Arabidopsis thaliana: one gene and its partner. The protein of the gene in region 1 interacts with the protein of each later gene in a biochemical or structural test. Each region holds a gene or a part of one and is shown on either strand. Other genes may lie near its edges.

Region 1 (15,147 bases):
CTCGTAATCGTGTGGACCAGCTTGAAGGTTTTAGCAAAAACGGTGAGAAACATCAGCATGAAGAAAATACTGTTAAAACAAGCGATCAAATAGATCAATCAGAAAAATCAACTAAAAGTCCATCTGATTTTGCTTCAAAAAAAGATTATCTTGATTGGATTGAATATGTGGAAGGATCGAATCATCATTGTTTCGATCGATCCGAAGATTCCGAAAAATCTTATATAAGAGAGGATATCGATCATGACGCGATAAGCGTTGGGATATCAGAAGGATCCATAGAGGGGAACAACGATGAGAGTCTATTACTCAAGAGTTCTAAGTATAGAAAAAACGAGAAATTTGAAGATTCAAAAGGTTATAAGAAAGGAAAAGGTAGCAAGGCTAAAGATTCACTGAAATGTCAATTAGTTGACTAAATGTTGAATGTGCATTTTAGTCCTAACAAAATAAATGTTTCTTTCATAATGTATAATATGATCATTGATCATTTAGTTAGTATGAACAACTACTCTGTATGATCATTACTTTCAATGAAAATTGTGGTTTTCTTATTAAAAGCTCGAGCTCGTCATGGACTCATGGCAGTGGTAATTTGGTCACCAAAATCTGGCTGCGAGACTCCAAAGACGATTACATGTGTCGGCATCCCCTAAAGTTATGTCATGTATGCTCAGTGTTTCCTCGCATTACTCTCCAATTTTTGCCTTGCAAGATACTTTTGTGCATGGGCATGGCTTGTCACTTGTGTCGCGAACCTTGTCTTCACATATTTCCTCGATATATTTCAATCTCTTTTTCTAGTATATTCTTTAATCCTTCCAGATATAATCTGAAACTTCATTGAATTAACAAGTTCATAACCAAGATCGTCTATCATTTAAAGGCCTTAATTAAAAAAGAAAAGTCAATAACAAAGAACACTTTGTTAATATCCTCACATTAAATTAATTAATAATCATCTATAAATATATCATTAACCAACAGACCCGTTATTCATTTTTAAAACTTGATTAATTCTCTCGCAACCACCCACAAAAGTGATAAAAGCATAAGTATAAAAATGTCAAGAGATTTGACAAAATTTTGTAGGCCGAGTTAGATTGACTTAGGTTCGTCCCAAACGGCTAAATCACTTGTCCATGCTTACCAAGATGCCAAAATACACGACATATTCCACAACAAACAAATTCCGCTATCTGATAATTCCCGAAAATATGTTCCAAAAATATATAGAAATGATGGAAACAAAATAATATTTTAAAATCTTTAATATTCATTAACTAATGATTTATGAAAAATTATTAAAAAATGATTTGAATATTTTATAAATCTATTAAGACGAAAACAAGCCATGTTTATTCTCTCTTATAAGCTATGTATAGTATTTGTAAGTTACTATTAGTATGGGTAACAATTATAAGAAAACGAATCAATTTATTAATAGATAAATTAAGATAAAATCACATAAAAGTAAGAAAAAGGACCAAATGTAATAAAGAGTAAGAGAAATACAGAGAAACAAACAAAAGAGTCGCAACGGCTATTTCGTAGTTACCAACTTATTTTGCTGTCCAATGCACAACTTGTTCTTACACCAAAAGTTGTGCTCTTTAAACTTGCATTTATTCTACCCAAAAAAAAAAAAAATTGCTCAATATATATACAAATATATACCATAGTTTATCACTAACAATCAGTAGTATTATGTTTCACACTAATATACTCAAAATTAATCATCAAATCATATTAATATTAGTGATTAACAAACAACAAAGAAGCTAATTAAGACTTTTCTTTCCCACAGTACAACTCTCTGACTGTGTAACTCACTCTGTCAACTACAAGATTACAAAAGACCGTTAGATTTCATCTTTGACCATTTGAAATCTTAAGATCAAATCTCAGCCGTCCATTCCACCGTTACCAATCTCTCTCTTTCGATATAATCAACAAATTTTCTAACTTTTTCTCGGTGTCCTTTCTCAATCAGAAGCTTTACCCTATTTTCTCTATACCTCCCACGCAATTTCTCTCATTCCTTTCTTTGTGGGTTTTTGTTTATTCTTCACAAAGTTAACATTTTTAGACTCAAAACTCATTCTTTTGCCCTTCCTCTGTTTCTCCTCTCTTGGGGTTTATCTTAGATTCTCCAAAAAAGTCTCTCTCTTTCCATGGCTTCTCTTCTCCATCTTCTTCTCCTTTCTCTTTCTCTTTTAGTTCTTGCTTCAGCTTCTCCTTCTCCTCCAGCTGATGAAGGTGAGATTCTTGTATCTGATTCAATCTTGTACTTTGAGTTTCAGATTCAATCTTTACTCCCAAATTTGAAAGTTTTGATTTTTGCATGTGTTAATGTTCTTCTAGAAAACCAAATGTTCCATTTTTTATGTAGTAATAATTCCACTGTCAGTGATTAATGAAAATAGCTTTAATATAAAGTAATTAAAGACAAGTCCTTTTGTATGTATGTGTTGGATTTGATTCATTGAGTATGTTTGAGAGTGTGGTAGGTTATGATAATAAATGTCAGTATGTGTGTTTGGCAGGTGGGTTTGTTTTTAAATGCTCACTAAGAAACAAGAAATGGTGAATTTTCATGTCCCCAAATATTTATTACAAGACAAATAATTCAATGTCTAATGTTTTGACCAGAGACATAGTTCTTTTTAGTTAAGTCTATGAATCCAAATCTTTGAGTATTGTACACTCTTTTGGACTAGTTCTAGATATGTTGATACTAATGGTTTAGTTGAAATCAATATATTTTTTGTAGGTTCATATATTGGAGTAAACATAGGGACTGATCTTTCTGATATGCCACATCCAACACAAGTTGTTGCTCTACTAAAAGCTCAAGAAATCCGACATATTCGATTATACAACGCTGATCCCGGGTTGTTGATTGCTCTAGCAAACACTGGTATCAAAGTTATAATCTCCATTCCTAATGACCAGCTTCTTGGTATAGGTCAATCCAATTCAACCGCAGCGAATTGGGTTAAACGCAATGTCATTGCACATTACCCTGCAACGATGATAACCGCGGTTTCTGTTGGCTCTGAGGTGCTAACCAGTCTCTCTAATGCAGCACCTGTTCTAGTCAGTGCTATAAAGAACGTTCATGCTGCTTTACTCTCGGCGAATCTTGACAAGTTGATAAAAGTTTCTACTCCTTTATCAACTTCCTTGATTCTTGATCCTTTTCCTCCATCGCAAGCGTTCTTTAACCGTTCTTTGAATGCGGTTATAGTTCCGTTACTAAGCTTCTTGCAGTCAACAAACTCATACCTGATGGTGAATGTGTATCCATACATTGACTATATGCAATCAAACGGTGTGATTCCGTTAGACTACGCGTTGTTCAAACCGATACCTCCAAACAAAGAAGCTGTTGATGCAAACACTCTTGTTCGTTACTCAAACGCTTTTGATGCAATGGTTGATGCAACGTACTTCGCTATGGCGTTCCTCAACTTCACAAACATTCCGGTTTTAGTAACCGAATCAGGCTGGCCTTCGAAAGGAGAAACCAATGAGCCTGATGCTACACTTGACAACGCCAACACTTACAACAGTAATCTCATTAGACATGTTCTTAACAAGACCGGAACTCCGAAACGCCCGGGGATCGCTGTGAGTACTTATATTTACGAGCTTTACAATGAAGATACAAAAGCAGGTTTATCAGAGAAGAATTGGGGGTTGTTTAATGCAAATGGTGAACCGGTTTACGTACTTCGGTTGACTAACTCGGGCTCGGTTCTAGCTAACGATACAACGAACCAGACTTATTGTACTGCAAGAGAAGGTGCTGATACAAAGATGCTTCAAGCTGCTCTTGATTGGGCTTGTGGTCCTGGAAAGATTGATTGTTCGCCTATTAAGCAAGGAGAGACTTGTTATGAACCGGATAATGTCGTCGCGCATGCTAACTACGCGTTTGATACTTATTATCATCAGACTGGGAATAATCCTGATGCTTGCAACTTCAATGGTGTTGCTAGTATCACTACCACAGATCCAAGTAAGAAACATAAAAAGCCTTTTTTGATTATACATTGCATTGTGTAATACTGTTTTTTACCGTTAATTAGTAAAAAAGCTAATTTTTTCTTGCTTGGTTGTTTCAATGCAGGTCATGGTACATGTGTGTTTGCTGGGAGGTAAATTATTCTGTTTCCTTATACTCTTTTGTTGGTAGATATGTTCATTCTTGGTTTCGATTAGGAAATGTATTGATTTGGTTTTTCGGATTAAAAAGAATGACTTCATGTTAATTGTGTTAAGTTTTTTTTAGTATCAGATCAGTTAGTCCAAATGAAACACTCATATTGTATAAATTTTTAATGGTTGTTTATTTTACCTCGATTGCAGCCGCGGTAATGGTAGAAACGGGACGTCTGTGAACATAACAGCGCCATCGGCAAACTCAACAACTTCTTCTGGAATACGGAGTGATTTGTATTACAGTCGGGGTATATGGAGTATCTTGACAGTAATGATTTTGAACGTTGCTAATATCTTGTGAGAAATCTTTGGGACATAACAATGTTAGTTTCTGTTCCGAGAAGTTTTTTTAACTTTCTTAGGTGGGATTGGAGTTAGAATTGAGGCCGATTGTGTTGGATTCGATTTTGTACACAACAAAAACCAAGATAACATTCTAATGGTCTTTTTTATCCCATTGTTCGTTTTTGATCCGTTACTCAGAAAGTGAAGTTTAGGGTTTCTGTAGATAAAATTCACAATTGACTAAAAGATTTTTTCGTATATTATTAGATTCAACCAACTAACAATAACAGCTTTCTCATTTACAGCTAAATCTCTTTTAACTTCAATAACCAAAAGTGACTGTGAAAGTGTGAAACAAGAAAAGAGGAAAATAAAAGCAGAGTAGAGCCATCCTAAACGTAATTAAACCAAACCAGACTTTGCCACATATTTAGTCAGAGACTAAGAATAAAGAACACAAAAGTACATGACAAGATGCGAAGTCTTGCTTCTGTTTAAGAGATGTTCATAGCTTCAGCATGATAGCTTTCGAGATCTTTGTCGAGATCCGCAGCAGACTTCTCCACTGGCTTCTTTCCACCTCGCCCACCGCTTTTATTCCCTCTGCCACCACCATTACCCCGGCCTCTACCACGGAACCCGCCTCGACCAGCTGTCACACCACCTTGTTGGTTTTGTTGGCTGTCATAAATAAACAATATGATAAGATAAGATGATAAAACCAATGCATGATCAGCCCACATGAATGACAACGAGATCAGACTCTTGAACACTTACAGTGGAAGGCGTCTCCCAGAAGGACCTGAACCTCTTCCTCTTCCTACTCTCCCACCTCTAACTCCTTGTCTGCAATAATCAGTGATACATTCACTTCAGCACATAAACTCAAAACTATTCTCTTGTAAAAAAAAAACAGACCGGCAACATACCCAATGAAGACACTCCTCTTCATCCTTCCATTCAATCCAGTCACATTAACACGAGCTGCGACAGGAGCAGATTCAGTATTTCCACCCAGAATCTCCAGTTTCATAGGCCTTCCATCCAAAAGTACATTATTGTATTTCCTCATAGCTTGAATTGCATCACTTCTTCTCATATACACAACTTCAGCCGATCCCTGTATGACACAGAACATCAGATATCAAATATTACAGAAACACGGTAATGAACAGATAAACCATAGCAAAAAGAAAACAGAACTTACACTTGGACGCCCATTTTTGTCATAGTGAATTGCATATCTTTTCAGCTCTCCAATTTCAGCATAGAGTTCCTAGATTCCATATGATAGTACAAACCAATTTCAGAAAACTCCACAGAACCAAAACAACAGAAGCACTGGAACATAGATGTCAGGCTATACCCTTATATCTTCATTTGTCACTCCCTGATCAAGGTTGGTAATATAAACTGTGGTTCCGACTTCCACTCCTGATACCCCAACAGCTCTAAGGGTTTCTTCATACAAATCATTCTGATTCTGCCATGGCAAGCTCCTCTTCCTGCGGGCAAGCTGATCCAGTAGAACATATCAAGTCAGCTAAAAGGGTCTGTAGAATCTTGAAGCCACATTAATCAACAAATTTCTTGAAAGAGGAGAAAACACCCATTTGGCTGAAAGTACTAAAGCAAAGAGCTCCAGGAAGAAGTAGTCAAGAACCATCCAAGGAGATACCAAATGAAACGTAGGGAAACAAGTAAATTTGACTAACTTCATATGAATCATACTGGTGTTATCAGTCAGTCTCTGAAGCCAAAAACGAAAACTGAGACTGCCGTCACACTCCGAAGAAATTCCAGATGTACCATCGTGAACTTCATGCATAGTGCAAATACCCCCACTTTGATAACCCATCATAAATCCTATTTACTGTTAAAATTTCTGAAATTCCCCCTAAAACCACACACATTTTCAGGCTTTATCCCCCTGTAGATAACCCTATGTGGACTACTTAGCTTAAAGGAGCTCCTCAATAAACCTATAGCGAGTGACAATATCAACCGAAAACTTCTGCACATCTATTCATGCCTCTTGAAGTTCCCAGATTTTAACCATAAAAACCACTAATTGCAGGAAAGAAGCTTTTCTAAGAAGATGTTAGAAGATTCTTGTAATCTGAATCATCATCAGAAGTAACGGTATATGCATGTATGATTCTTCTCCAAGGACAAAAGAGCATTAAAAGATCATCCATCTTAAGTTTTAGCATGCTTCGGTATTTGGTGGCACAGAGTTCCAATCAAGATTTCGAGCTTGCCTTGTTTATGGAGAAGGATGATGATGGCCGAGTATTAACAGCAAGAGGACCTCTACGAACAGGTCCACCTCCTCTTCCACCTCCTACAACACCATTAGGTCCACCACGTCCACGTCCACTCTTACGGGAAACTCCTTTACCTCCAGACCTTGCAGCTGCAGACCTTTCACTCTTACTCTTCTTCACAATTTCATCAAGAGTCATATTCAAAGCGTCTGACATCTTCAATCCAATAAAATCAAACTAAACCTGAACAAATTGGAGTTTAGAAAATTACAATTAGCTACCACCAACACAATGACAACACACGCCATCAAAATCGAAGGAGATCAAGCAATAATTATAAAATTCAAGCTCAAATACACAAATCAAGGACGGTGAATCATATCCACTGCTCGAATTCAAAGATCTGATTATCGGAACATATGAACCAATAGATTCCTAAAACCTAGAAAACAATTCTCATAAGCGATATCGAGAAAACACGAATCACTGCAAAATTTTAGACGGAAACTCGTAATCGCATCTCAGAAACATAGATCAAAGCCCTAGATCTAGATTCGTAATCGAAAAAGTGAAATCAATCGGAAACATTATACGCGAAACCAGATGAATCGAGAATCGAAACGTTACCAGATTAGGAGAAAAGACAGATCGGAGAAGATCGAGAGATCTGTGTTAGGGTTTTGAGGAAGCTTTTGGGGATTTTTTTTTTCTCTTGAGGATTTGATGAACGAAGGGGGGGAAATAGTTTGTGATTGAGATTACTGGTTAATGGAGAGGAGAAGGTATCTTTTTTTATATAGGACTAGGTCAGCAGGGTAATTATGTAACTTTTCTCGATTTAGGGGGGGCGTTTTGCGTCTCTTATCAAAAGTAGACAATTACCAAAAAACCGTAAGGGAAGATTGCCAGCTATGCGTTTCCGCGTTTAGTTAAAAATAGTTTATAAGATAAGGATTATACTTTTCGAAGATATCAAAAATGCCCCAGTTGTTTTTCTAATTGATATGTTGATACTACAATTTTTTTTTTTTTTTTTTATTGTGTATATGTAAGAATCTATCAATCTATCATTCCTACGGAACCTTTTTGGTACTCCTGAAAAACAAATCTTGATCAAACCTATATTTGCATATGCAGTTTAAGATTATGTCCAGTGGTGAGAACCTTCTATAGACTCTCACTATTTTTTTGTTTTATTTTTTTTTGGAAAGATTTATTAATTTTGTTATCTTTCCATGGTAGGTTCTCCAAGTAGGGTTCTTTAAAAGAAAGTGTATATGATCCTTTGTGGCTCAAGATCAGTTCCAATTTTATTATGTGATCCTTGTGCCTTGTAATAGATGTCTAAAGATGAGTGTTAAAGAGAAAAACAAACCAAAAGACATGACTCACTACAGAGCATAAATTACAGTATATGCATATATTTCAAATCTTACCAATTTGGTAGGTCTTGTCTTTCCTTTTTTGACAGACAATCCTTCCAACTCAGCTTCAAAGCTATCAATCTACGACTCTAGTTCACTCACTCACATATCAAAAGCACGAAAATAAGTAATGAATCAGCTACAGTACTGATAGGAGATGCTCCAAGAATTCTCAATTTTACAAAAGAAACAGTCTGAAAGTGAGTTGGCCTTTAAATTTTTTGCTTTTAAAAAAAAAATCTTGAAAATCACTATTTACATAAATCGTTTTTGATAAGTGACTACTAGTAAGATAGAATGTGATGATTTCATTATTAACACATACGTTTGATTGTTTTTTTTTGTTTTTTTTTGCTTGCTAAGAATGAAATATGAATTTCCAAAGTAATGAATGATGTTGGTATTGCATGGTGGATTTATTTGGTTGCATCATGCATGGATTTTATTTCCTTAAGGTATATAGAAAATACGCTTGGCCAAATGAGTGAAAAAGAGATATCTTCTCTTGCTGGTCGTCCTGTTTTTTAATCTAAACTAGTGACTTTCAAAAATAAAATATTAGAACTGTTTGGGAAAATGAATTGCCATTGTTTATTTCATCGCCAACGTTTAAGTTGTTAGTTTTTGAAATGTTTGTACTTAGTTGTTAAGACGACGTCAAATTATTTCCTAATCTATTTCTATGTATAGAGGTAAATTCGTATTTTTAATTTTCTAAAACTAATGATATTTTCTTACATCATTTTGTAACTCATAAATTTTTTAATGTTAAGGTTGTATGATTCAATTTTTCTTCAAGTTTGGAAGGTAAAACATATTTAACTTCACATATTGATTCTCAAAAAGGATAACGTCATTAAAACTAAAGCCTTCTTGATCTTGTCGAATAAGCTAGAGATTGAAGGAAAACGAAACACTTTTATTATTATTAACCACGACTCATGAATCGTGCGTGGTCAATCACAAACTAAAACATAGGAAAAACATCGAATAGAAAACGAAATCCTCAAAATATAACTTAAAGCTCATCCCTCTTGAGTGCGGATGGACGAACACCTTGAGCGAGGAAATCTTTGTAATACTTGGCTGATTCTTTCTCATAACGTGTGAGGTTATTTTTGAAATCGACGTAATAGAGTCCGAATCTGTTTTTGTAACCATCTTGCCATTCGAAGTTATCCAACAATGACCATACAAAGTATCCCGTAACTCTCACCTTATCGATGCTGCACAAACACAATTATGTTCTTAATTAGACCATTCAATAGAATCGTTAGTCAATCTATCAAATAATAAAAGGCTTACCAAATAGCCTCGTTCATAGCCAGAAGATGCCTCTGAAGATAATATTTCCTGTTATGATCAGCAGTACCAACGTCAACCGAATCTGTGGTCCCAAGTTTATCTCCATATCCTAGAAAAAACAACATTATAATGATCAGTATATTACTCTTAAGAGTTAAGATTAAATCAACACACAAATATAACAATAAATCTCGAGTTACCATTTTCCATTATCATAATCTCCGGGTTTGCGTATTTGTCCTTGATGTACTTTAAAAGCTTTCTAAATCCTTTAGCGTAGACGGGCAATGCAGCAGTAAGAGGCTGAAATAAAGCAATGGTGAAAATGTTATGTCGTAGACAAAAATTAACAATCACAAACTAGGACTAGTTTAATCAAACGCTTACCATGCTACCAATGGCGCTGTGATCTACATTCTTAGCTGAAAAATAAAAAGTGAAAATGTATGCATATCAATTAGTATTATAAAACCTTTTATCTTTAGTTTCTTGGTTTGGTTTCATGTACGGAAAACAAAAAAAAACTTACGTTCCCAGGAAACAAGAGAATCTTGCTTCCAACTTGGTTTAGACGGATCTGGCTTCTCATTATAATTTGAAAATGTCGAAGTATAGTAGTTAAGCCCTACGAAATCGGTCGAATCTTTCAATTTTGCTTTTTGTGCAGCAGTAAATTGAGGCAATCTGTAACCAAGAAGGTCTTTCATGATTTGTGGATAATCTCCCGAAGTAGTTGGCTCCAGATGCCTACACAAAATTAATAACTACATTAATTTTTATGAAATTATATACGAGAAACCATTTTCTAACATAATATATACTTACCATCCCAACATAAAGTCAAGTACACGGCTAACAGTTGGAGCGTCATTTGAATCTTTAAGATCATGTGGTTCGAACCAAGCCGGACTATGTGCGATTCCGATTTTCCCACCTTTAACCTATGTCCATAAACACAACACAAAACAACCTATTTTAAGATTCGAAACCTGATAATTAATTGTGATTTATATCTAATGTGACCTGATAATTAATTATGATTTATATCTAATGTAAACTACCTTTTGGCGGAAAACTTCAACAGCTTCTGCGTGAGCGTTGAGGAGATTGTGACTGACTAGATAAGCCTCTTTACCAGATTGTCCCTCTCGGTCTTCGCAACCTGGAACGTAGCGAGAACAACGTCCTGGTGCTTTCTTTCCTAAGTCGTAACCTGCGTGAGCAAAGACCCATGGCTCGTTGAAAGTGATCCAGTTTTTCACTTTTCCACCGTATTCAGTGAAAACATAATCTGCATATTCTCGAAAATCTTTCCTGTATTTTTGCAAAAAAAAAAGATACCAAATTAATAATTTCCATATAAACTTAACTAAATGTATTTTGTTTAATTTACAAAAACATACACAATGTTTTGGCTTAAGAAACCGCCATATTCGTCTTCCAAATCTTGTGGAGTGTCCCAATGGAAAACAGTCACAAACGGAACTATACCTATTTATGACGTAAAATAGAAAGAAATGTTAAATAAGGATACTATATTACTTGTATTTTTGTGAACTAGGTATTTTATATGTATATAACCATTTTTAAGGAGTTCATCGATGAGCTCGTGGTAGAATTGCACACCAGCTTGACTCACTCCCTTCTCCTTTCTCCCATCTAATAAAGCATTACAGTTTGTTTCATTAGTTATTGATACTTCAACATTCACATATACATCATCTAAATTCATTGGTTATTAGTATTATATAACAATCACATAAATCTAATTTCACCAAATTCGATTAAAACAAAATCAAACTAGAGATCTGCAGACATATACTCACGAGGAAATATTCTTGACCATGCGATTGAGAGTCTGAATGCATCTGTGTTTAGATTCTTCATTAGCTGAATATCTTCCTACAAACATTTTTAAGACAAGGCAAAATTTCAATAACATCTCGAGAATATAAGTTATGTTTGTCTTAAATTTATATTAATATATACCTTATAACGATGGAAGAAATCAACGGCCACATCGGCGTGGTCGCCACTACATCTCTCTGTAATTTGAAAGTAATTAAGAAAATTAATGGCTATGTATTGATATTAATTAGTTAAATTTAATTTAATATTTAAACATACTGTATTGAGAATGTAGATTATACGAGTACACTCACCTGGATTTCTTCTACAGTAGATATCCCATAGAGCCGGTCCACGACAAGTTTCATTAATTGCACCTTCGACCTAATGACATAACAAAAAATAGTTGATGAGTTGAGGAATATCACATGCACAAATGATTTCAAATGATAGGTATAACATATTTTGAGCAACTTTTACATAAAAAAAAACCATATTTTAAAAATATGGATTTGAATTCAGATAGAAACACAATAACGACACTACTTTTTGTTTTTTGAACTATGATTTAGTAAATCTGTTGTACCTGAAACGCAGCAGTAGCCGTGCCAAACAAAAACCCATTAGGGAAACTTGCTCGGCTTAGCTTGGAAGTCGCCGGGCAAACAGGATCATCAACCGCTGTTGTCACAGAGACGAGGATGGTTAGGAGCAAAAGCAGCCCCATGAGAGGAAACTTTTGCAATGCCATTTTTGTTTTTAGTTTCTTCTGGAAGAGAACAAGTTTATGATGATTTGTTTACATCCAATCGGAGTTCTTTATATAGCGATTTTGATTGTTTGTTAACGAGTGACTAAAATATAATTGTTTAGTAAAACTATTTTATATATAGGATGATTCATTGCATGACCTCGACCGTTGTGTTCTTACTTAGTTTGGAACATATTATATTGTGCGTGGAACTAATATAAGTTCTTCATCCATTTTGGATTTAATTATTTGATTAGTCCATTTTGGATATCATAATCTCCCAATATGATTATTTGTGTTTCATAATAAACCTTTTTCGGAATAACTCTTATGTACTTTGTCTATGGTTTCGATAATTAACTATGTTCATATATATATAAATATATAATATTGGTGTTTTATATAATTTAATAATTGTATATTATTTATTTGGTAATTTTTGGTTTAAACCACTGTCGCATCTACTGCTAAGCCAATCATAAAATTGCCGTAAATACACATATTTTTAACTGTAAACCAGTCATTTAAAATGTCCGATAACGTTTAAAACCTCAACCAATTACTTCCATTAACTTCCACAATGACAACCACACCCCGTTGCATTTAAACCAACGAAAACCCTAAATAATAACAAGCCTATTTTTGATACTCAAATAATTGGAGACTTTATTATTTTTCAAAACTTAATTGTAAAAACATATTTTTTAACTTGTTTAACGAACATTACTCTTAATCTTTCATAAATCAGTTTCTAATTCGAAAAAAAGTTATACCTTATTCTGAAAAAATTCAGGTAGCAAGTAAAGGATCTCTCATTTAATGTTTGGACTAATGAATGACTAAACTATATGAGTATGTATTTAGTAAGACTATTTTTATAGTATATAGGATGCTTCATGGCACGATCTCGATCATTGTATTATATATAGTTTAGTAAATCTATTTAATAAATAGGATGATTCATTGCATTATCTCGATCATTGACTAATTCTTACTTATTTTTCCTAGTTTGGAACATATTATATTGGGCGTGGAACATATAATATAAAAACGTGACTTAAAAATATATCATGTATGTCCAAAAAAAAAGTTTACAGCATGAGGAGTCCTCGAACCAATCGGCCGGCCCTAAGTCAATGGATCATTTAGTGCCTCGTATAGATCTAGATCGAGTTTTGGATCTTATTTTGTTATGGACGTTAAGTTATTAATGTGTTAGTGACTAAAATATAAATATATAATACAACTGTTTAATAGGATGACTCATTCCATGATCTATATGGTTTACATTACTTTTTTGTTTTCCAATATATAGTCCTCGTGTCTAAAACTCTAAACTAAATTATATCCTCTTTATATTTTATAATTGACACATTTTGCGCGAATAAAAAGACAAATCATTAACTATACAAATATACCATTACTTTATTAGATGATATTTCCTCTATTTCAAATTATATGATGTTTTAGATTAAAACACACACTTTAAGAAATTTATTTTTAATTATAAAATTTGTTCTCTTGATATTAAAAATACAAAATACAAACCAATAGTCAAATAATCAAATAAAATATATTTAAAAATTGCATTGATATTAGTAAAACATCCTAAATAAATCTCTGAAATATCCTATATAATGAATCAGAGTGAGTGTTAAATTTAAAACAAAAATATGAATAAATTAAAGAATAAACGTGGAAGTTTATTTGAAAAGTAAAATTGGAAATTTAAAATAACATGTTTTTTTTTGAAACAAAATAAAAATTCCACAAGAACACTAGTGGTTGTTATACAGAAGGACTATTATTAAATATTTTAAATTGGATGATTTCATTGCACGATATATAAACGTTGAGTTGTTTTTTATTTTTCTAAATCTTGAACGTATAATATTCATCATGCATAAACGTTGAGTTGTTTTTTTTATTGAACAGAAATAAAAATCCTCAAAATATAACTTAAAGCTCATCCCTCTTTATCGCGGATGGACTTAGGCCGTGTTCGTTTCATCAGTCAGATGGATCATCTAGATAGAGATGAGTTTTGATGTTCGTTTGGTGCCAAAAACGGTTCATTCAGATGATCTATCCAAATAAATCATCTGGATGACTTTGAAAATTTAAGCTAAATTTTGAAACTTATTTGGCTGAATTTAATTGGATCATTTGGATGGAGATGATCCAGTCAAAAATAACAAATAACAAAAATACCTTAATTATTTCAATTGATTATTTATATGTATTTTTTCGATAAAAAAACAAATAGACTTAAATCTTATTTTACAACTATTTTTAAAAAATAAAAAATTAAATTTTCCACTAAAACCGCAAAATTATTTTTTTTTCCGTTAAAACCGTAAAATTTTGTTTTTCCGCCAAAACCGTAAGATTCTGTTTTTCCGACAAAACCGCAAAATCACGTTTTCCCGCCAAAACCGCAAAATCACATTTTCCCGCCAAAACCGCAAAATCACGTTTTCCCGCCAAAACCGCAAAATCGTGTTTTCCCGCCAAAACCGTAAAATCACGTTTGTCCGTCAAAACCGTAAAATCGAGTTTTTCCCGCCATAACCGTAAAATCACGTTTTCTAGTCAAAAACGTAAAATCACGTTTTTCCGCCAAAACCGTAAAATTTTGTTTTTCGCCAAAACCGTAAAATCGAGTTTTCCCATCAAAACTGTAAAACCACGTTTTCCCGCCAAAACCGTAAAATAAATTTATAAATGTAAAAAACTATTATTTGAAATTTATTTACTTTTAAATATATTTTAGATTAAGAATTAAAATTAACATGTTTACAAGTAATAATAAAAAATATAATTAGATGAAAGCATGGGTAGTTTAGGTATTTGTATTATTACAAATCATTTGGATGGAGATAGAGATAAGCAAACGAACATCTCATTCGGATGGTCCAGTCAAATGAACCGACTAAAAATGAAACGAACAAGAGTTAAATAAATCATCCAAATAGACATGTTGAATGGATCAGTTGGATGGATCTATCAAATGTAGAAACGAACAGGGCCTTAAAACCTT
Region 2 (17,219 bases), on another chromosome or scaffold:
CTTGTTTTCTCAATTGTAGTATTTCGTTAGGTGGACCTATAGTCCTATACACGCATGCAAGTATGTAACAATTAACATAAGTGATAAGCCTTGTTTAAGAGCATAAATCGTAAGGACCTACCTAGGAATATGCTCGGCCAACTAAACCGGGATTATGATCCGGTTTTCAGAATTTTTTTGCGTGTGAATAAAGAACTCGTGGTGTAAAGGCGAACCGAGTCGGGTGTTTGATTAATTCCAATATTAATTGTGTTGTTCAAATGTTTTCAAGCCGAGTTTCTTCCCAAATAAAAGTCATATCTCATGAAATTCCTAAGAGACCAAAATTCCCGAGTCAAATAAACAAACAAACCCTGATTTTATCTATAAACACATACACATTTTTATTAAGTTATAATCAAGCTAAATATAAAAATAAAAGAAAAATCTCTAATCTCCACGCATATTGTTTACTTTACTGCTCCTAATGAAAGTGAAACACATGTATATTTATGAACGTAATAGTATTGTGGTATTTACTGATCAGGTGTATCATAAAATAAGGCGACTTTAAAGTTTCGTTTGAGTTTTATACATATTGTGTTTACCATCTTAAAATATGTGTGGTATTCTTACATGTTCAATGCAAACGTAAACAAATAATCATATTTAACTAATTTCAAACATAAATTTCGTTAATAACTACAGTATAACTTACCGAATTGAATTGGAATTTTGATTTGATATATGGTCCACGTGTTTATAAACTTTGATAAATCAATCCTTTGAAAATTTTGATGAATAAGCATAGACTCTTTTTTAGCAACTTTTTACCAATGTGATATACAATATGGATTACCAACTTTGTCAACAACAAAATGATACCAAAGTTGCATACAATACAAATGGTACGGATCAATAAAAAAAAGTGGCGGCATAGTTGTCAAGTTGTAGCTACGTACAAGAGAAACTCAAACCAAGAGTGGCGGTATATTTATGATTTATCACCTCTAATTAGCACTCCTCATCTCTTCTGGTTGTCATTCTCGACGAATCTTATGCCTTGGTTTACAATTTGGACTAGTATATACGATGAATCAAACTAGAAATTATCGTCCATAGATCATTTAATTTCGTACATTTAGACGAAAAAGGGCTAAAGACAAATTTATTAGTACCCCAAATTTTTCTCTTACAAAATATAAACATATTACAGCGATTTAATAACTCGAAAATTAATACCTTCAGAATATTAGTAAAAATTTAGATATGAAAATTAGAGTACATTCATTTGTCATCATAACACTTTTTGACGCATGCATGCTTGTATCTTTATTTTCGCATTATTTTATCATAAGATCTCTAGTATCGTAAGTACTACCATATTATTAACAATGATCTCTTACTCTCTTTCAGAACAAAGCTTCACCAAAAGCTATCCAACTTATTAAAAAAAGAAAACACTTTGCTTTTGTAAGAGATGATATATATTTTAGTTGAGTGTCTATTAATATCTTTCAATTAGCAAAAGAGAATCCATTTCCACACTCTGTCACGAAAAGAGAAAGTTGTATCTGACTACGAAGCCAAATGAAACCAATCTGAACCGAAACCAGAATTCGGTTTAGAATGAGGCTGCTAGGGCCAGGTCTTGTATATTTTTAGCAAAAGCCTGTGTGGACTTGGACAAACCGTGTCTAAGTGAATTTTATATTTCAAAATCCTTCAAATTTGGTTCAAAATGTTGAAAACGAATTCTTTTGTAGTAAAGTCAAAGTCAAATTTCATGTATGTGTGTGTATACATAAACATAAGATAGTGAGACCAAACTAGCACAAGTCAAACAATGACATCTCAAAAACCCTATATATATGAGTCATTATCGAATTTATTACACATACAAAACAAAAACAAAAAAAACTCTACATTCACCAATAAAAAAGCTCAATTTTGTTTTTGTTTCTCATTCGAAAAACTAAAATTCTAAACATGATGAAAAAACAATTGGTGGTCGTAGTTATGTTAGTTGTTATGTTCGTTGTTTTCTTGGACGCTACGCAAGTTGAAGCCATGAGGCCTTTCCCAGATCCCGTAGATGAGATCCGGCTTCTGTTTCAGGCGTTGCAAAGAGGACCGGTCCGTGGTTCTGGTCGGAACGGTTGCACTAATATTCCTCGCGGTTCAGGCAGATGCCATAACTGAGCTGTCTTATACGAATCTTCTTCTTCTTCATCTTCATCATTCTTTAATTCCATATTTTTTTTCCTCACATTTGTGTGTTACGTACATAATTACATTTACGTAATTATACGATAGCTTTAGACTTCGTCTCATGTAATTGAATTGTAATCAACGGAAATTTAATTAGTCTATTAGCGTGTTTGTACTCAATACAAACATGTTTTTTCACTATTCACTAGTTGGTCAAGAAAAATGTAAATGTAACAATCCAAAGATTTTTCATTTTAACAACAAACTTTATTGGACTTTTCGGCTTGGAAAGGTAGACAATACAGTGAATAATTGAATTCTTTGACTTATAATTTTACTTGAAAAAAATCGACATAAACACAGCAACATGCGCTTTATATACAGCGTCTGAAGAGAAAGACGTTCTCATGGCAATGTATTCCCACTTACACGATTACACCGTTCTGTAGCTGGAGGTTTTTCCCTCCGACGTCTCTTCTTAATGTGATTTTACTAAAAGTCAGACCTTGACGGCAACAAAAACAACGCCCCTTTATGTTTTCTACTTCACGGTAAAACCTGAGTCCGACATGTGTACGTGCACAAGATACCGAGATTTCATCGACGTTCCTGTGAAAACAAAACCTGCATTGATGTGTGAAACTTGGGATAATTAGTTTTATCAGTAGAAGTAACAGCAACATTGTACGTTTGTTGAGACTTGAGGATTCATCGATGCTAACGCATCAACTTGAACAGATAAGTTTTTGAATCGAAAGTTTACGAAAGTCCTAAGTTCATTATCCTCTAAAGCAATGTGATGCAAGAGAGCTAGAAACAGAGCGTGTAATCGTCTCTACCTGTGTGAAACTGCCTATGTTCTGTAGCCAAGCATTAAATGCTTGTAATAACGACCCCGGATGATTCTCTGCCACCAATATTTTGTTGAGCTCCAATAACTCATCTGCATCCGCTCTTGGATGAGCCTGTAATGCAAATCATGAGCGTAAGTAAAAAAACAGAGTTTCAAAGAGCAGATCCATAGGAGAAGGGAAGAAAGTTTGCTGACCATCTAACAAGGCATCTTTTAATGCCTTGAGATATTGGCCGGAAAAAAGATGGATCTCGCTGAGTATACAGTATCCCAACCTGAAACAGAATTAATCAGTTTTTAGTAAAATGGGTCTCGAAATTAGTGTCTACTGATCAAGAAAAGATAGAAGTTTTTACCTCAACCAATGCCATAGCTGAAGGGTCTTCAAAGATCTCAAGGCTATAGTCACCCAAATAATTTACCTATAGAATCATTGATGCTTGTACACTATTAGTGATGCTATAATCATTAGTTTCATGTCCGATAAGGTAAAACTGAACACTTTGGCTTTATTTCCATCAAGGGTCTAGAAGAGTAGGTACCGCGAATTCTGTATTGACAAGAGCTTGGACAAAATCCATCAGCTGAATTTTAGCCCACTCAGAGTTCTGTGTAGGATCCTCAGTTTGCGGAGGATGCCTCCATGAAGCACCAAAACGTAATTTTTCATACGGAATGCTTCCTTTTCGTACATCAGTGGCATACCGTTGAAGCCGCAACAACGCTTTGTCCATTGCAGGATTAACCACAGCAACCTAAACAAGGAAATAGACTATAAAATTAACGATGACTTTCGTGCGTAATTTGAAAGCAATCACTTTAAATGAGCTTACTTGTAAATATGCCAAGTATGCATCCACAATATCTTCAAATGTACCTGCTTTACTCCCCATCAAACTGATAAAACACAACGGCACTAGGTCACATTTGAGAAACGAAAAAATAGAGGGTTGACACATTTTGAGATTAGAGCAAACGAAAGAACAGGAAACCATTACCTCTGGTAATGATTACTTTGTTTAAGCGCATAAAGCTCAAATAGATGCCGAGAATTCGCACCAAGAACATCAGCAATGATAGTCCACTACAATTCCAACATATGTTAAACCTCTAGTAATATACAGCATCTCAATTAAAAAAAGAATGACCAGTAAAATTTTAGCATAAAAGATCATTCAACCTTTCTGGTTTGATATTATTAGGTTTTAGAGTTGTCACATATTTTGGTTTCATTAAACAAGCAGTGCCATTACCTACAGCATTTTTCTCACCTCCGAAGCACTGAAGTAATCAGGAACCATGTGTAATTTTGCTTCTTGAGGATTCCATCCAAATGTCTACAAATGAAACAAAGCCAAAGTGCAACGTAAGAAAGGTAGAATGAAGAAAAATAAAAAATGAACTTTCATGTTGATATAATGAAGGTGAGACGGGGAAACTCTACATAATATATCAAATTACCAATACATGCTCACACAAATACACACAGAATCAATAGTTTACTTAGATGTATACATGTAGCTTCTATACCTCACGAGAGATGAAAATGTCTGGAAACCCGTAGTCAACAAAGGCTTGATATGAATAGTAGCTGTCATAATTCAAATTATTAGACATCAGATAAAATGATAAAAAAGTTTCAAAAGACATTTCTGTAACTAAGAGCCAAGTTCAGAATGGAAAATGATTATTCAGACTTTCGGTAACTTAATGGCATACTACAAAGTGATACAAGTCAGAAACCAGTTTCCCCTCTAGTGTTGAGAAATTGAAACTTAAAGGCTAGATTAAGAGACCACGTAATCATCAGATAGTAACAGATTGTCCTTATTAAACCCAAAAATGCTAACAAAAAACAGGACAAACCTGTCCGAAGTCACGAATAGGACAGGTAGACAGCGCTCATTCGCACCTAACGCTATTATTCTCCAAATAAGATTGTCATGGTACATTGACGCTGAGACTGTTGAATCATCAGTCTGAATAGCCCTCTTCAAGATTTCAATGTTGTTCAAGACCAGCTTAGGCTGTCAAATGAAACAAGAAATAGAGACAAACAAAAATAACATCAATAGTTGGCAAACTGTTTCCAGATGAATACATTTACTGTTTACCACTCATAAGATCAAAGATTCCATTCCATTACTTATCTATTCCATTACCTGGAAGAAGCCAATCTCTGCAGCTTGTGATAACAACTCAAGCATTAGCAACGGCCAATCAGTACATGAATTCGCTAAAGTTCTCGAAAACCCATTAGTTCGATTAAGATGAGCAATGGCATTGGCTTTCCAACCCTGGTGCACCTTAATAACCTCTTTAGCCAATCTTAACGCAAAAGCAGTCTCTCTATAATACGAAGCCTCTTCAACGGACAAGCTATTACCTTTCTCTTCCAATTCAAGCAACCCATCAATCTCATCGGCATTTTGTCGAACAGATAGGGCATACACAGCCCGTTCCCAGAGAAATGAAACCGAGACTTTCTCTGGAACAGCAATGTTATAACCCTGAAGTATACGACGAAGTGCAGTATTAAGACCATACCATTTGTTCATAGTAGTGAAAATCTGCTGCGAGCTTATACTCCCAAGTTTGATAGCTTTGTGACTCATAGATTCAAGACAATTCTCGAGCTGGGTTTTGCAATTGGACAACAACGGTGGGTCAACACTGGTCCAAGACGTCCATGGATATGATTGGTGGTGATCTGGATGGTGTTCCGTTATCGATTGCGCAAAATCTACATAGCCAGCGAGATGTGGCCCTTTGTTCCAATCTCCGAGTAGACCTAATAAGAACGAGATCGGGAACGAATCAAAGGTACGATCATTTGAACAAAATTGGGGAAATTAGGGATTCAAAGAGAGGATTTTACGGTTGAGGATCAATGTGGTTTTGCCGACGCCACGAGGACCATGGAGGATGAGAGGCTGAGGAACACGGTGGCGTTGGACATGGTTGTTGAGAACTGTTTCTAGAAGCGGCTTTGGAATTATCTTCCAATGTTTATTCACCATTTCTCTGCTTCTCCTTCTTCTTGAGCTCGATCAGTGTATGGGGTTTAAGGACACTCCCAAATCTCAGGGGAAATGTTCAATCCAAAACCATGGAGGGTTTAAGCGTTCAAGGATCTCTCGCCAACGAAGAACAAATTTCAACTCGAACCAATCTCAACCGGTTTATACAATCGAACCAATATGAACCGGTTTATACAATCTGAATCATTTATCGTCTCTTAAACCAAATAAGAAGACTATTATTCCGGTTATCAAACATTTCCAGTACTATTACAAATTTGTTAAACAAACTTATACTTTCAAACAAATTTGCTCTCATAGCTTTGTTACAACTTACAAGAACATGTAAAGCATAGTTTCTCGTATACAACAAAAATGAATACAAAAAGTTCCACCCATAGTCCAAATTTTGGTATTGAGATCAAGCTTGAGATTCACAAGAGGGATCATCCGTGGCACGAACCCGAGCCTTTGGGGATGTGAGAGCAACGGTTAGGACCAGATCCAGGGACCGTACCCTTCTGCAAGGACTCGAACACGAACCGGATATCACTATCGAAGGTGATTCTTAACATCCTCGTGGCTTCTACTTTTGTGGAGTCCAAGAAAACCACAAAAATGGCAAGCATAATCACTCCAAAGATTACTTAATTCTTCATAATCATCACTTTAACTTTGTTTCTTTGTACTAAAAAGTATTTGTAGTAAGTTCGTTTACTCTTTTGTGTCGCATTGAAAGATATGAATATGAGTTAAATATATAGAGAGGGAGGGTTTACTTTTTTTTTGTCGTCAGGGAGGGTTTACTTGGATTCTTATGGATTGACTTTTTAGTTGGAAAAAATTGGTTCTCGACATTTGAACTAGAAAATAAAGATTGAGACTGATTAAACAAGTTAACACGTAAACCGGTTTTGTCTTGGACCGCAAGATTTCTTGCTCATACGGAAGGGCGAAGAAGATCACGCGTCTCACGAATTTTTAAGCAAATAGGAGGAAAATGCACCCGGGATGTTATTACGGTCCAACTTGATTAGTGTATTCCCGGTTTGATTTTCTGACAAATTATGGTGATCAATTTCATATTTTTTTGCTTCTTGTAGTACATGTTGGATTTTTTTTGTTAGTACAATATTCTGAAAATTTTGATGGAAAATGCAATCATATAATTATAGCGAAAAAAGGCTGCAAAGCTAAAAAAAAAAAAAATCGAAACAAAAACACAACAAATAAACTAAATGAGAAATTCAACTAGCAGTTTTTCAAGAAGAAACACTGATTCTGAACGCCGAATTAAAGATGGACATTCGCGTAATTGTCACAGTTCCAAAAATCTCGAGACCTTATCGTCGTTATTACGAACAATCTCTACCCTATACCAAGCTTCTAACCTCAAAGAGACGCTAACTGCTGTTTCGAAAACTAACACAAAACATGTCGGATTTAATTTAGCAATGTAGCTCTTACGTGGTCAAAATTCTCATTTTTGTTCCAATGTAAACTAGAAATGTACAGATGTTTTCCGAAATATACAACCACCATGATTCAATCGTTCGACGGATTCTGCGAATTCGTCCATGATTTGTTGATTTTTTTTGTTAATATATTTTTCACCAATGCTATTTTCTTTTTTCTTTTTTCAATTCCCTATTGTCATTTTATAGCCATAATTTTATGTTCACATAATCTTTTCTTCCTGTCTCAAAAATATAAAACAACAAGTGATAGTAATCATCGTCTATTGCATAACGGAGGGTGCAAATTATTGATTTACTAATCTGATATCAAATTAAATCATTGAATAAATCTGATTATCAAAATAATAATTGAAAGCAATAATCTTAAAACAGACTTTTTAGGGTAAAAAAGGGAAAAAGGGTTAAACGGTAGAAACACAATCTGGAAAAGCGTCGCCGAGAAGCTTTACTCTCACCTGAAACATTCCTCAATCCGTCGTCATCATAATCATCTTCGATAGAGAAGCCATACGTATAAATAGTACTCTCGCATTGTGTAATTGTCTCTTACCGGAGAAATGGCAAGCCCACATAAGCCGTGGAGGGCGGAGTATGCAAAGTCGTCGAGGTCTTCATGTAAAACTTGCAAGTCCGTCATTAACAAGGAGAACTTTCGTCTTGGAAAGTTGGTTCAATCTACTCACTTCGATGGCATCATGCCCGTATGACTCTCTTTTCTCTCCCAGAATTTGGAACTGTCTCTGTACTATACTCTCGTGCTTGTTAGTGTGCGTTCTAATGTTTCTTTCTGATTTTGAGGACAAAATTGATTCTTTTAGAATTATTGTCAGACAAATTGGGTTTATTTGGTTGAAATTGGTTATTTTTGAGGGTTCAATCCTGTTCTCTCTGCTTCCACTGTTCTACATTCCTTGCAAATTTGTGTGTGTGTGTGTGTCAAGCTTGTTTTCTATCTCAAAATTGGAACTTTTTTAACTTCTTAAATAGATGTTAACCTTCCTCACATTATGTTCTTTCCTCCTTTTGTGCCTAATCGAATGTGATAAAAGAGCATTTGAAGCTTAAATTTGAGTCACTTGTGTGTTTATTTAGTACTTGATGATTGCCAAAAGGTTCGTGCTTTTCTGCAATGACGTATGTGAACTCCTATTATTCCCTTTGGAACTCTGACGTTATTCTGTTTGGATGATCATAATCGTTTGTTTAGCTGTGTTTTGATATCTTTATGCCGCCAATGCTATGATTGCAATCAGCTGTGTTTTTCATGAGCTTTTATGCTTGTTGTTTAATGGAATGGCAGTGGTCATTCTTCTCTTCTTCTTTTCACTATGTAGTTCCTTCTTCATGCTGCTTCACTTCACCATGTTAATTATATGTTGCTTTTAGCTCCAGTTGACATGAAGTTTTCCTAGCTGACTATCCTCTTTGTACTTTTATTTTTCTCACACAGATGTGGAACCATGCTTCTTGTATACTAAAGAAGACGAAGCAGATAAAATCGTATGTAAAACCAATGTCACTTTGAACAAATATTTAAAGTGTTTGGCTATTAACTCGTTTTTGTCTCTTGATTTTGCTAGAGTTGATGATGTTGAAGGCATAGAATCACTTCGTTGGGAAGATCAGCAAAAGATTAGAAAATATGTCGAATCTGGAGCAGGGAGTAACACAAGCACAAGCACAGGCACAAGCACGAGCAGTACCGCTAATAATGCCAAACTAGAATATGGGATTGAAGTGTCACAAACTTCTCGTGCCGGTTGCAGAAAGTGTAGCGAAAAGATCTTGAAAGGAGAGGTAAATTGTTGTTCTACTTCATCTGTCATGGTTGTAGCGTTTTATATGAACTGGTTCGATATGCATTAGGGTTTTGTTTTGCATTTTTGTTTTCCAGGTACGTATATTCTCCAAGCCTGAAGGCCCGGGTAACAAAGGTTTGATGTGGCATCACGCTAAATGTTTCCTTGAAATGTCTTCCTCTACTGAACTGGAAAGTTTGTCTGGATGGAGAAGTATACCAGACTCAGACCAAGAAGCTCTTCTTCCCTTAGTGAAGAAAGCTCTGCCGGCAGCCAAAACTGGTAAGAGTCTTAAGGTGTACGGTAATATATTGATTTCCTTGTTACAGGATCCTGATTTGCAGTACTTTAGTCTGATCTTTCCGTTAATTTATTTTGGCCCAACTGGGACAGAGACAGCAGAAGCACGTCAAACAAATTCAAGAGCAGGCACAAAACGAAAAAATGATTCTGTTGATAACGAGAAGTCGAAACTAGCAAAAAGTAGTTTTGACATGTCTACAAGTGGTGCTTTACAACCTTGTAGCAAAGAAAAGGAAATGGAGGCCCAAACTAAGGAATTGTGGGACCTGAAGGATGATCTGAAAAAATATGTAACATCAGCTGAGTTGCGGGAAATGCTTGAAGTAAATGAACAAAGTACAAGAGGATCTGAACTTGATCTGCGTGATAAATGGTAAATTACTTTGCGAATCTGTCTGGAAGTTAATTGCTTGTCTTTTGTTCTATTTCTGTTACTGTTGTGTGGATCTTCTTAAAGGTAATTTGGATTAGAGAAACCGATGCATAATCATATGCCTAACCTCTCTATTTGTTTCTATTTAGTGCTGATGGCATGATGTTTGGCCCACTCGCTCTCTGCCCAATGTGCTCTGGGCATCTTTCTTTCTCCGGAGGACTTTACCGATGCCATGGATACATCTCAGAATGGAGCAAATGTTCTCATTCCACTTTGGATCCAGACCGCATCAAAGGGAAGTGGAAAATCCCTGACGAAACAGAAAATCAATTCCTTCTGAAGGTAAACCAGTCTTTTTGTAGAGTTGATATTGGTATGGGTTAGGTTAGATGTGGTATATATTACTCATGAAGTTAATATTTATATTTTGATTACTTGCAGTGGAATAAGTCTCAAAAGAGTGTGAAGCCAAAACGTATTCTGCGTCCTGTATTGTCTGGCGAGACATCTCAGGGTCAAGGTTCTAAAGATGCAACTGACTCCTCAAGGAGTGAAAGGCTAGCAGATCTTAAAGTTTCAATTGCTGGAAATACTAAGGAAAGGGTATGTTCTTCTGTCAAAAATTATATTGTAGACTATCTTTGCACTTCATTGCTTGATGGGATCATTTTGCAGCAACCATGGAAGAAGAGAATTGAGGAAGCTGGTGCAGAGTTTCATGCTAATGTTAAAAAAGGTATGGATAACTCGAGTGTCTATTTTTGATTATTGTGACACTAGTTTTAGCTTTTGAATATCTCTGTTTCACAAATTTGTAGGTACAAGCTGTTTGGTTGTTTGTGGACTGACAGATATCAGAGACGCTGAAATGAGAAAGGCAAGGTAGAATATTGCCTTCATTGTGCTGATACTCTTTAACTTTGTCACACTATTTTTTCTCACTTTGAACGCTGGAGTTGATAAATGTGTGGCAGGAGGATGAAAGTGGCAATCGTGAGAGAGGATTATTTGGTTGATTGTTTTAAAAAACAGAGGAAACTTCCATTTGACAAGTACAAAATTGAAGACACTAGTGAGAGCCTTGTCACTGTTAAAGTAAAAGGACGAAGCGCTGTGCATGAAGCGTCTGGCCTCCAAGAGCACTGTCACATTCTTGAAGATGGGAACAGTATCTATAACACAACTCTGAGCATGTCTGATCTCTCTACCGGTATCAATAGTTATTACATACTCCAGATAATCCAAGAAGATAAAGGTTCAGATTGTTACGTATTTCGTAAATGGGGCCGAGTTGGAAATGAAAAGATTGGTGGTAACAAAGTGGAGGAAATGTCAAAGTCTGATGCGGTTCACGAATTCAAACGTCTATTTCTTGAAAAAACCGGAAACACATGGGAATCTTGGGAACAAAAAACGAATTTCCAGAAACAACCTGGAAAATTTCTCCCGTTGGACATTGTAAGCATCCATATGACTATATCTTTGTCTCTTAAGATTCTCTTATGTATCGTTCAATAAACTCTTTTGTATCGTTTGTTTTAGGATTATGGAGTTAATAAGCAAGTAGCCAAAAAAGAGCCATTTCAGACCAGTAGCAACCTTGCTCCATCATTAATAGAATTGATGAAGATGCTTTTTGATGTGGAAACTTACAGGTTAGAAACTTATTTGCCATTGTCTTCTTCTCCTCTTCTCTCCCTAGAAACTGTATGAAGTAACCTAATAATTACTTCCGCAGATCTGCAATGATGGAGTTCGAGATAAATATGTCAGAGATGCCACTTGGGAAGCTCAGCAAACATAATATACAGAAGGGTAACTCCTACTTCTCTAGTTTACTTTTTTATATGATAAAAATAATAAAATGTTAATTCTACATTACATTCTATTATGTTTTTTCTTGTTTGTTCTTCTAAAGGTTTTGAGGCATTGACGGAGATACAGAGGCTATTGACTGAAAGCGACCCCCAGCCTACTATGAAAGAAAGCTTGCTTGTTGATGCTAGTAACAGATTTTTTACCATGATCCCTTCTATTCATCCTCATATTATCCGAGATGAAGATGACTTTAAGTCAAAGGTACTTGCCATAGAACATGAACCATGGTGTTGTTTTTTAATTCCTAGCCTCTTTTTCTGTGTTACAAAGAGGTATTGTATCTGTGTGTCACAGGTGAAAATGCTCGAGGCTCTGCAGGATATCGAAATAGCTTCAAGAATAGTTGGCTTTGATGTTGATAGCACCGAATCTCTTGATGATAAGTATAAGAAGCTGCATTGCGATATCTCACCACTTCCTCATGATAGCGAAGATTATCGATTAATCGAGAAGTATCTTAACACAACTCATGCCCCAACGCATACAGTGAGTTCAAGCTCTGTTTATCCCTTTTCATGTTTTGTTTATCATAATTTTCTAATTCAATTTCTGGTCACTGGATTTGTCAGGAGTGGAGTCTTGAGCTAGAGGAAGTTTTTGCTCTTGAAAGAGAAGGAGAGTTTGATAAATATGCTCCCCACAGAGAAAAACTTGGCAATAAGATGCTCCTATGGCATGGTAAGCCAACTGCAACCAGCCACATTTACATGCTTTGGGAAACAGATACAAGAAATTTCATTGTTTGGTTGATTCTATATATTTGGCTGGTTGATCATCAAAACCCTTGGTTTAACCAAAATAAATCTGCTTTCAGGTTCTCGATTAACGAATTTTGTTGGAATATTGAACCAAGGACTGAGAATTGCACCTCCAGAAGCTCCTGCTACTGGTTACATGGTCAGTACTCTATCTGTGTCTTATTTGTGGGGATCTTATCAATTGAGAGTTCTTCACTATCTAGTTAACTTGTTAGAGAATCTGAACTTTTTTTAAACCCCATGTTTCAGTTTGGAAAAGGGATATACTTTGCTGACCTTGTCAGTAAAAGTGCTCAGTACTGCTACACTTGTAAGAAAAATCCGGTGGGTCTAATGCTTCTGAGTGAAGTTGCATTGGGAGAAATACATGAGCTAACAAAAGCTAAGGTGAGCCCATATTACAGTTTTTCAGGTTATGCTACTAACCATTTGGTTCTTATCTTGAAAACTATATGAACAACTTAAGATATTACTTACCTTCATATATGACTTTCTCTTATGTCCTCAATTCTTTAGTATATGGATAAACCTCCGAGAGGGAAACACTCGACCAAAGGGCTCGGCAAGAAAGTGCCTCAAGATTCCGAGTTTGCCAAGTGGAGAGGTGATGTGACTGTTCCCTGTGGAAAACCTGTTTCATCAAAGGTCAAGGCTTCTGAGCTTATGTACAATGAGTATATCGTCTACGATACAGCCCAGGTAACTTGTGTTTCCAAAATAATCTTCCTTGTTCCTTACAACAATGGGATATTGCGCACACACTAAAGTCCTCTTTTGTTCTTATCGGGTACTTGGGAATGAGAACTGAATTCCCTAGAAAGCTCATGCTTTAGAATACGGCTTTAGCTATTAGTTTTGCAACATATTCTGTGTTTGATTCTTTTATGGTGTGTACATGTCTGACAAAGATTGCTTTGTCTCTGAACAGGTGAAGTTGCAGTTCTTGTTGAAAGTAAGGTTTAAGCACAAGAGATGAGCCTGAACCAAACAAGAAGACGTCACTTCTGTTAACTAAATGTTTTTTTGGGAAATCGAATCCAACACGAAGACTTAACTTTTGTAACTAAATGTCTTTTGATAAATCGAATCCAACATGTAGTCACAGATTTAACTCTCTGGCGTTGTAGATGTTTCTGGTTTTAAAACAGCGTACACTACATTTTGTTATGCTTTTTCTCAGTAATGACACTTCTTAAGACTTGACACTTGTTCAGATCTGATGTTGTACCTATGAAAGATCATCGAAGAAGTGGTTATTCTCAAAGAGAAAATGGTTGCATGATTCGATCTCTACTATGAAAAATGTCGAAAAGTCGATACAATAGAAAGATTGTAAGGTTCCATCTCTGACAAAGTAGTCACTTGTACTCAAACAGACCAAGGAAAATTGACCTCCTGGTAGTAATTAAGTGATTCATTTGAGCTACAAGGAGACTCATTATGATCCATGGACCGCTCATTGTCGCGTGTAGTACCACTCATTGGGTCGAAGTCTGAGTCCAAGATTCCTTGGTGAAACCAATTGTGAAGATCTTGTGGCATTTGTTGAGCAAGAACCTTTTCTTGTTGCTTCATATTACAACCAGGATCATCTTGAGGGAACCTTCTCGAAGCTTCTTCTCTAAGTAGAACCACTTGTGCTTGTAAACTAACAACCTTAAGAACAAAGTCAGTGAAGTTACTTGTAAGTACACTAGAGATGATGAAGCAAAAGCAAAAAAAAATTATGTATACATTTCCGAAGAAAAAGTATAATACCTGTTGTTGGAGGGAGAAGATTTGGGAGACGCAGCCGTAAATAGGATCATGGAGACGAGAGTGAGCCTCGTAAGAGATGGTTCGTACGGCGTCACATCGGTCATGATCAGGGAGATGAGAAATGAGCTTAGAGAAGTTGCTAGCTCCAAACACTTTGTGAATGGCTGCAAAATTAGAAGATCCTTCTTCGTAGCAAAAGTATGGTGCAAATACACAACCCTCTACACATTTCCTACGCAAGAACTTGCATCCTCCACATGGTGAGCCTAAACCTCCCATTCTCAAAACGTAATTATAATCTATTGATATTAACCAACTATTACTATCTTGTAGGAATATTAATACTTCATTACTTATACTCTTCTAGTGACGATTATATAGTGCACGAGTGTTTATGGTAAAGGACTAAGGTGGGATTTATGATAACTCAACTTGTTATTTTACATATTTGTCTCTCTAATGGCTTACAATTACAAGATTGCAGCTTTTATATTTTCCCTCAAGTTTATATTGTAAAACATCTCTCTAATATTCAATAACTCGTTGTAATATATTATTGAGATTAAACTCTTAAGGTGGAGAATATTCTTAAGAAAATATTGAGAGAACCATATTAATATTAAGATCCGATCAAATGAGAGATTTGGTTGACGTATAGGACAAAACAATGAGTAAACATGAACCAAACCCAAGTTGCTTTTTGTTGTGGTTTTAGCTTTTTTTTAATTCATAACTAATTTACTCTCTTATTTTATTTAGAAAAATAAATTAGAGTTTACTTTTAGTGTTTGTTTAGTTGAAAATTTACATGTACTTGTGAAATTATGTTAAGATTGTTGTCATTATTGCTTAATTTGGAAAACAATAGTTTAAGATTTAACAATGCTCAACATATACACCACATAAGTGATTGAGATGTGTGTAGAATAAGAACAAAGGCATTTGATATTAGTAGTATATGAGACAAGTTATTTCTATATCTCGATTTAAATATTTTAAAATGCTCTCAGTTTCGATCAAACTTTACAGACTAGAAAAATAGAGAGACCCATGATTATCCAGCCCACATATTAATCATGAATCATGATTAACATCAAAAATATTCCAAAATAATTGATCAAGTACAAAAGTTAAATTATTCGATAATAATGAACAACTGATAGTGGATTTATGACTTAATGTTGGTTTAGTGGAGATTAAAAATAGTAAGAAAAATTTGAGTTTGAAGCTTTATTTTTGTTTTCTTATCTATGTTAAGGATTTCGGGTGTCTTTAGATATCCTAACTTGTGCCTAGAGTTTGCGGAAAAGACGGAGTTTTGGTCAAAGAAGGACCGGGGAACAAAGAAATAACAGAACCAGTACGGCCATGGGATCGGTCTCACCAATGACTGATCTAGGACTCCTCAAACAACCCTCATAAGCCACATTGGCCGTGCCCATCAGTCAAATGCAGATCCAATATCCCTGGAGCCAACTAAATAACCCGCATCGATCAACCATCATGGTCATAGAGCCACCGATCTAGCCAACCAAACCATCCGACCAGTAGCTACATCGTTCTGCCATATCGGTCATATTTTTTTATCGATCCTAATCACAACCCATCTGATCCAGAAGCTGCATTGATCCCAACATCGGCCAATGAAACCCAAACATTATACTTACCCTTTGCAAATCCTATTCTACTGGGAAAATAATATAGTGCTCATCTTTTAATTGATGAAACCCGAACATTGCATTTTGAGAAATAGTATGCAGTCGCAAAAGCAAAAGCAAAAGCATATTCAAATGTAGAAAGAAAATATAACATCCTTGTAATTCTTTAACTAATTAGCAATCTTCAATGATTCACATCATTTTCAACAGAGTATGAAGGAGTTAACATTGCAATGAATCTGCAAATTACTTGTACATATACATAACGCCCAACCAGGGTTAGATAGGAGAAGAGACCAAAACAACAAATGTGTGTTCTTCCATGATCTATTAAAAAGCTTCAATATATAGTAACGTGAAAAAACCTGATTGATTAGTCAACGGCTTTAGAATCATTAGAAGAAGATGCCTCACCAGATTCGGAGTGTTCATGGTTATGATCACAGTGATGGTTGTTATCATCTTCTTCTTCACTGTCATCCTCATCAAAAGGCTTCTGTTTATGAAAGATGCAACACTTCTTCGAACTCTTCTTCTGCATAAACTCATTGTCTACAGTCCCATCTTTCCATGAAACTTTCTTCTTCTTCCGGTTCAACCGAAGCACTAATCTTTCAGTAGGTTGTGATTGAGAAACAGGGTTTTCTAATATGACAGAAGTTGTTGCTGAAGAGGAAGGCCTTGTTGCTGTGCTCATAGCTGAAGATTAGCTTTCAAAATCTGCATAAAAGACTAATTTCATAAGGTACCAAAATACAAGAACAGAGAATAAAAGTTCTTAATAGTAACAACTAACAACATGCTTAAGAATGACAAGAGCTAAAGATAAAAACTAAGACCTTAAACAAAATCGTAAAACAGAACAAAGCCTTTAGGGTTCATTCTTTAGGTAAACAAACCAAACAGATGCTATTTCTCTAACCCTAAATTCATTGCCTACGAGATCTGAACCCTAATCATTCCTAATTCCAGGGGATAAACACAAATCGGTGATATGAAATTGAGAATCAAATGTTGCAGTAAACAATAGAGAGACCTAGTTTCGATCGTAGAAACAATAGCGAAACCTAAACCTAGGGGAAAAAAAGATTCAAAGAATCAAATCGACGAAGAAGCAAACCTGTGAATCCCCAAGGAGGAAGGGACGC

The links.
Region 2: the proteins of AT1G66260 (region 1) and PARP1 form a complex in vitro, tested with the Arabidopsis thaliana proteins (one study listed by BioGRID).

What each region holds. Positions count from the first base shown.
Region 1 is NC_003070.9:24,690,889-24,706,035, forward strand, and holds AT1G66260 (RNA-binding (RRM/RBD/RNP motifs) family protein), read right to left. Parts: upstream 8,027-15,147; 5' UTR 7,961-8,026; intron 7,597-7,960; exon of another isoform or gene 7,489-7,596; 5' UTR 7,407-7,488; intron 7,023-7,406; 5' UTR 6,996-7,022; coding exon 6,774-6,995; intron 6,029-6,773; coding exon 5,879-6,028; intron 5,789-5,878; coding exon 5,720-5,788; intron 5,633-5,719; coding exon 5,442-5,632; intron 5,359-5,441; coding exon 5,290-5,358; intron 5,194-5,289; coding exon 5,007-5,193; 3' UTR 4,758-5,006; downstream 1-4,757. Other genes in the region: AT1G66245 (uncharacterized protein), read left to right, coding at 1-419; AT1G66250 (O-Glycosyl hydrolases family 17 protein), read left to right, coding at 2,175-2,259, 2,774-4,024, 4,136-4,163, 4,375-4,528; BGLU21 (Glycosyl hydrolase superfamily protein), read right to left, coding at 9,222-9,429, 9,509-9,617, 9,709-9,811, 9,896-9,930, 10,038-10,255, 10,334-10,449, 10,570-10,822, 10,912-10,999 and 5 more. UniProt on the Arabidopsis thaliana protein: Export adapter involved in nuclear export of spliced and unspliced mRNA.
Region 2 is NC_003071.7:13,350,458-13,367,676, reverse strand, and holds PARP1 (poly(ADP-ribose) polymerase 2), read left to right. Parts: upstream 1-7,926; 5' UTR 7,927-8,098; coding exon 8,099-8,242; intron 8,243-8,991; coding exon 8,992-9,041; intron 9,042-9,121; coding exon 9,122-9,338; intron 9,339-9,435; coding exon 9,436-9,622; intron 9,623-9,733; coding exon 9,734-10,016; intron 10,017-10,165; coding exon 10,166-10,361; intron 10,362-10,460; coding exon 10,461-10,622; intron 10,623-10,694; coding exon 10,695-10,755; intron 10,756-10,837; coding exon 10,838-10,901; intron 10,902-10,993; coding exon 10,994-11,477; intron 11,478-11,561; coding exon 11,562-11,674; intron 11,675-11,757; coding exon 11,758-11,834; intron 11,835-11,937; coding exon 11,938-12,098; intron 12,099-12,191; coding exon 12,192-12,383; intron 12,384-12,466; coding exon 12,467-12,575; intron 12,576-12,711; coding exon 12,712-12,794; intron 12,795-12,904; coding exon 12,905-13,042; intron 13,043-13,171; coding exon 13,172-13,354; intron 13,355-13,583; coding exon 13,584-13,631; 3' UTR 13,632-13,929; and 1 more. Other genes in the region: AT2G31345 (uncharacterized protein), read left to right, coding at 1,969-2,181; emb1381 (embryo defective 1381), read right to left, coding at 3,044-3,155, 3,239-3,318, 3,400-3,465, 3,586-3,798, 3,877-3,940, 4,042-4,127, 4,315-4,380, 4,574-4,634 and 3 more; AT2G31335 (uncharacterized protein), read right to left, coding at 6,510-6,692; LBD14 (LOB domain-containing protein 14), read right to left, coding at 14,024-14,311, 14,414-14,692; INH3 (inhibitor-3), read right to left, coding at 16,445-16,768. UniProt on the Arabidopsis thaliana protein: Involved in the base excision repair (BER) pathway, by catalyzing the poly(ADP-ribosyl)ation of a limited number of acceptor proteins involved in chromatin architecture and in DNA metabolism.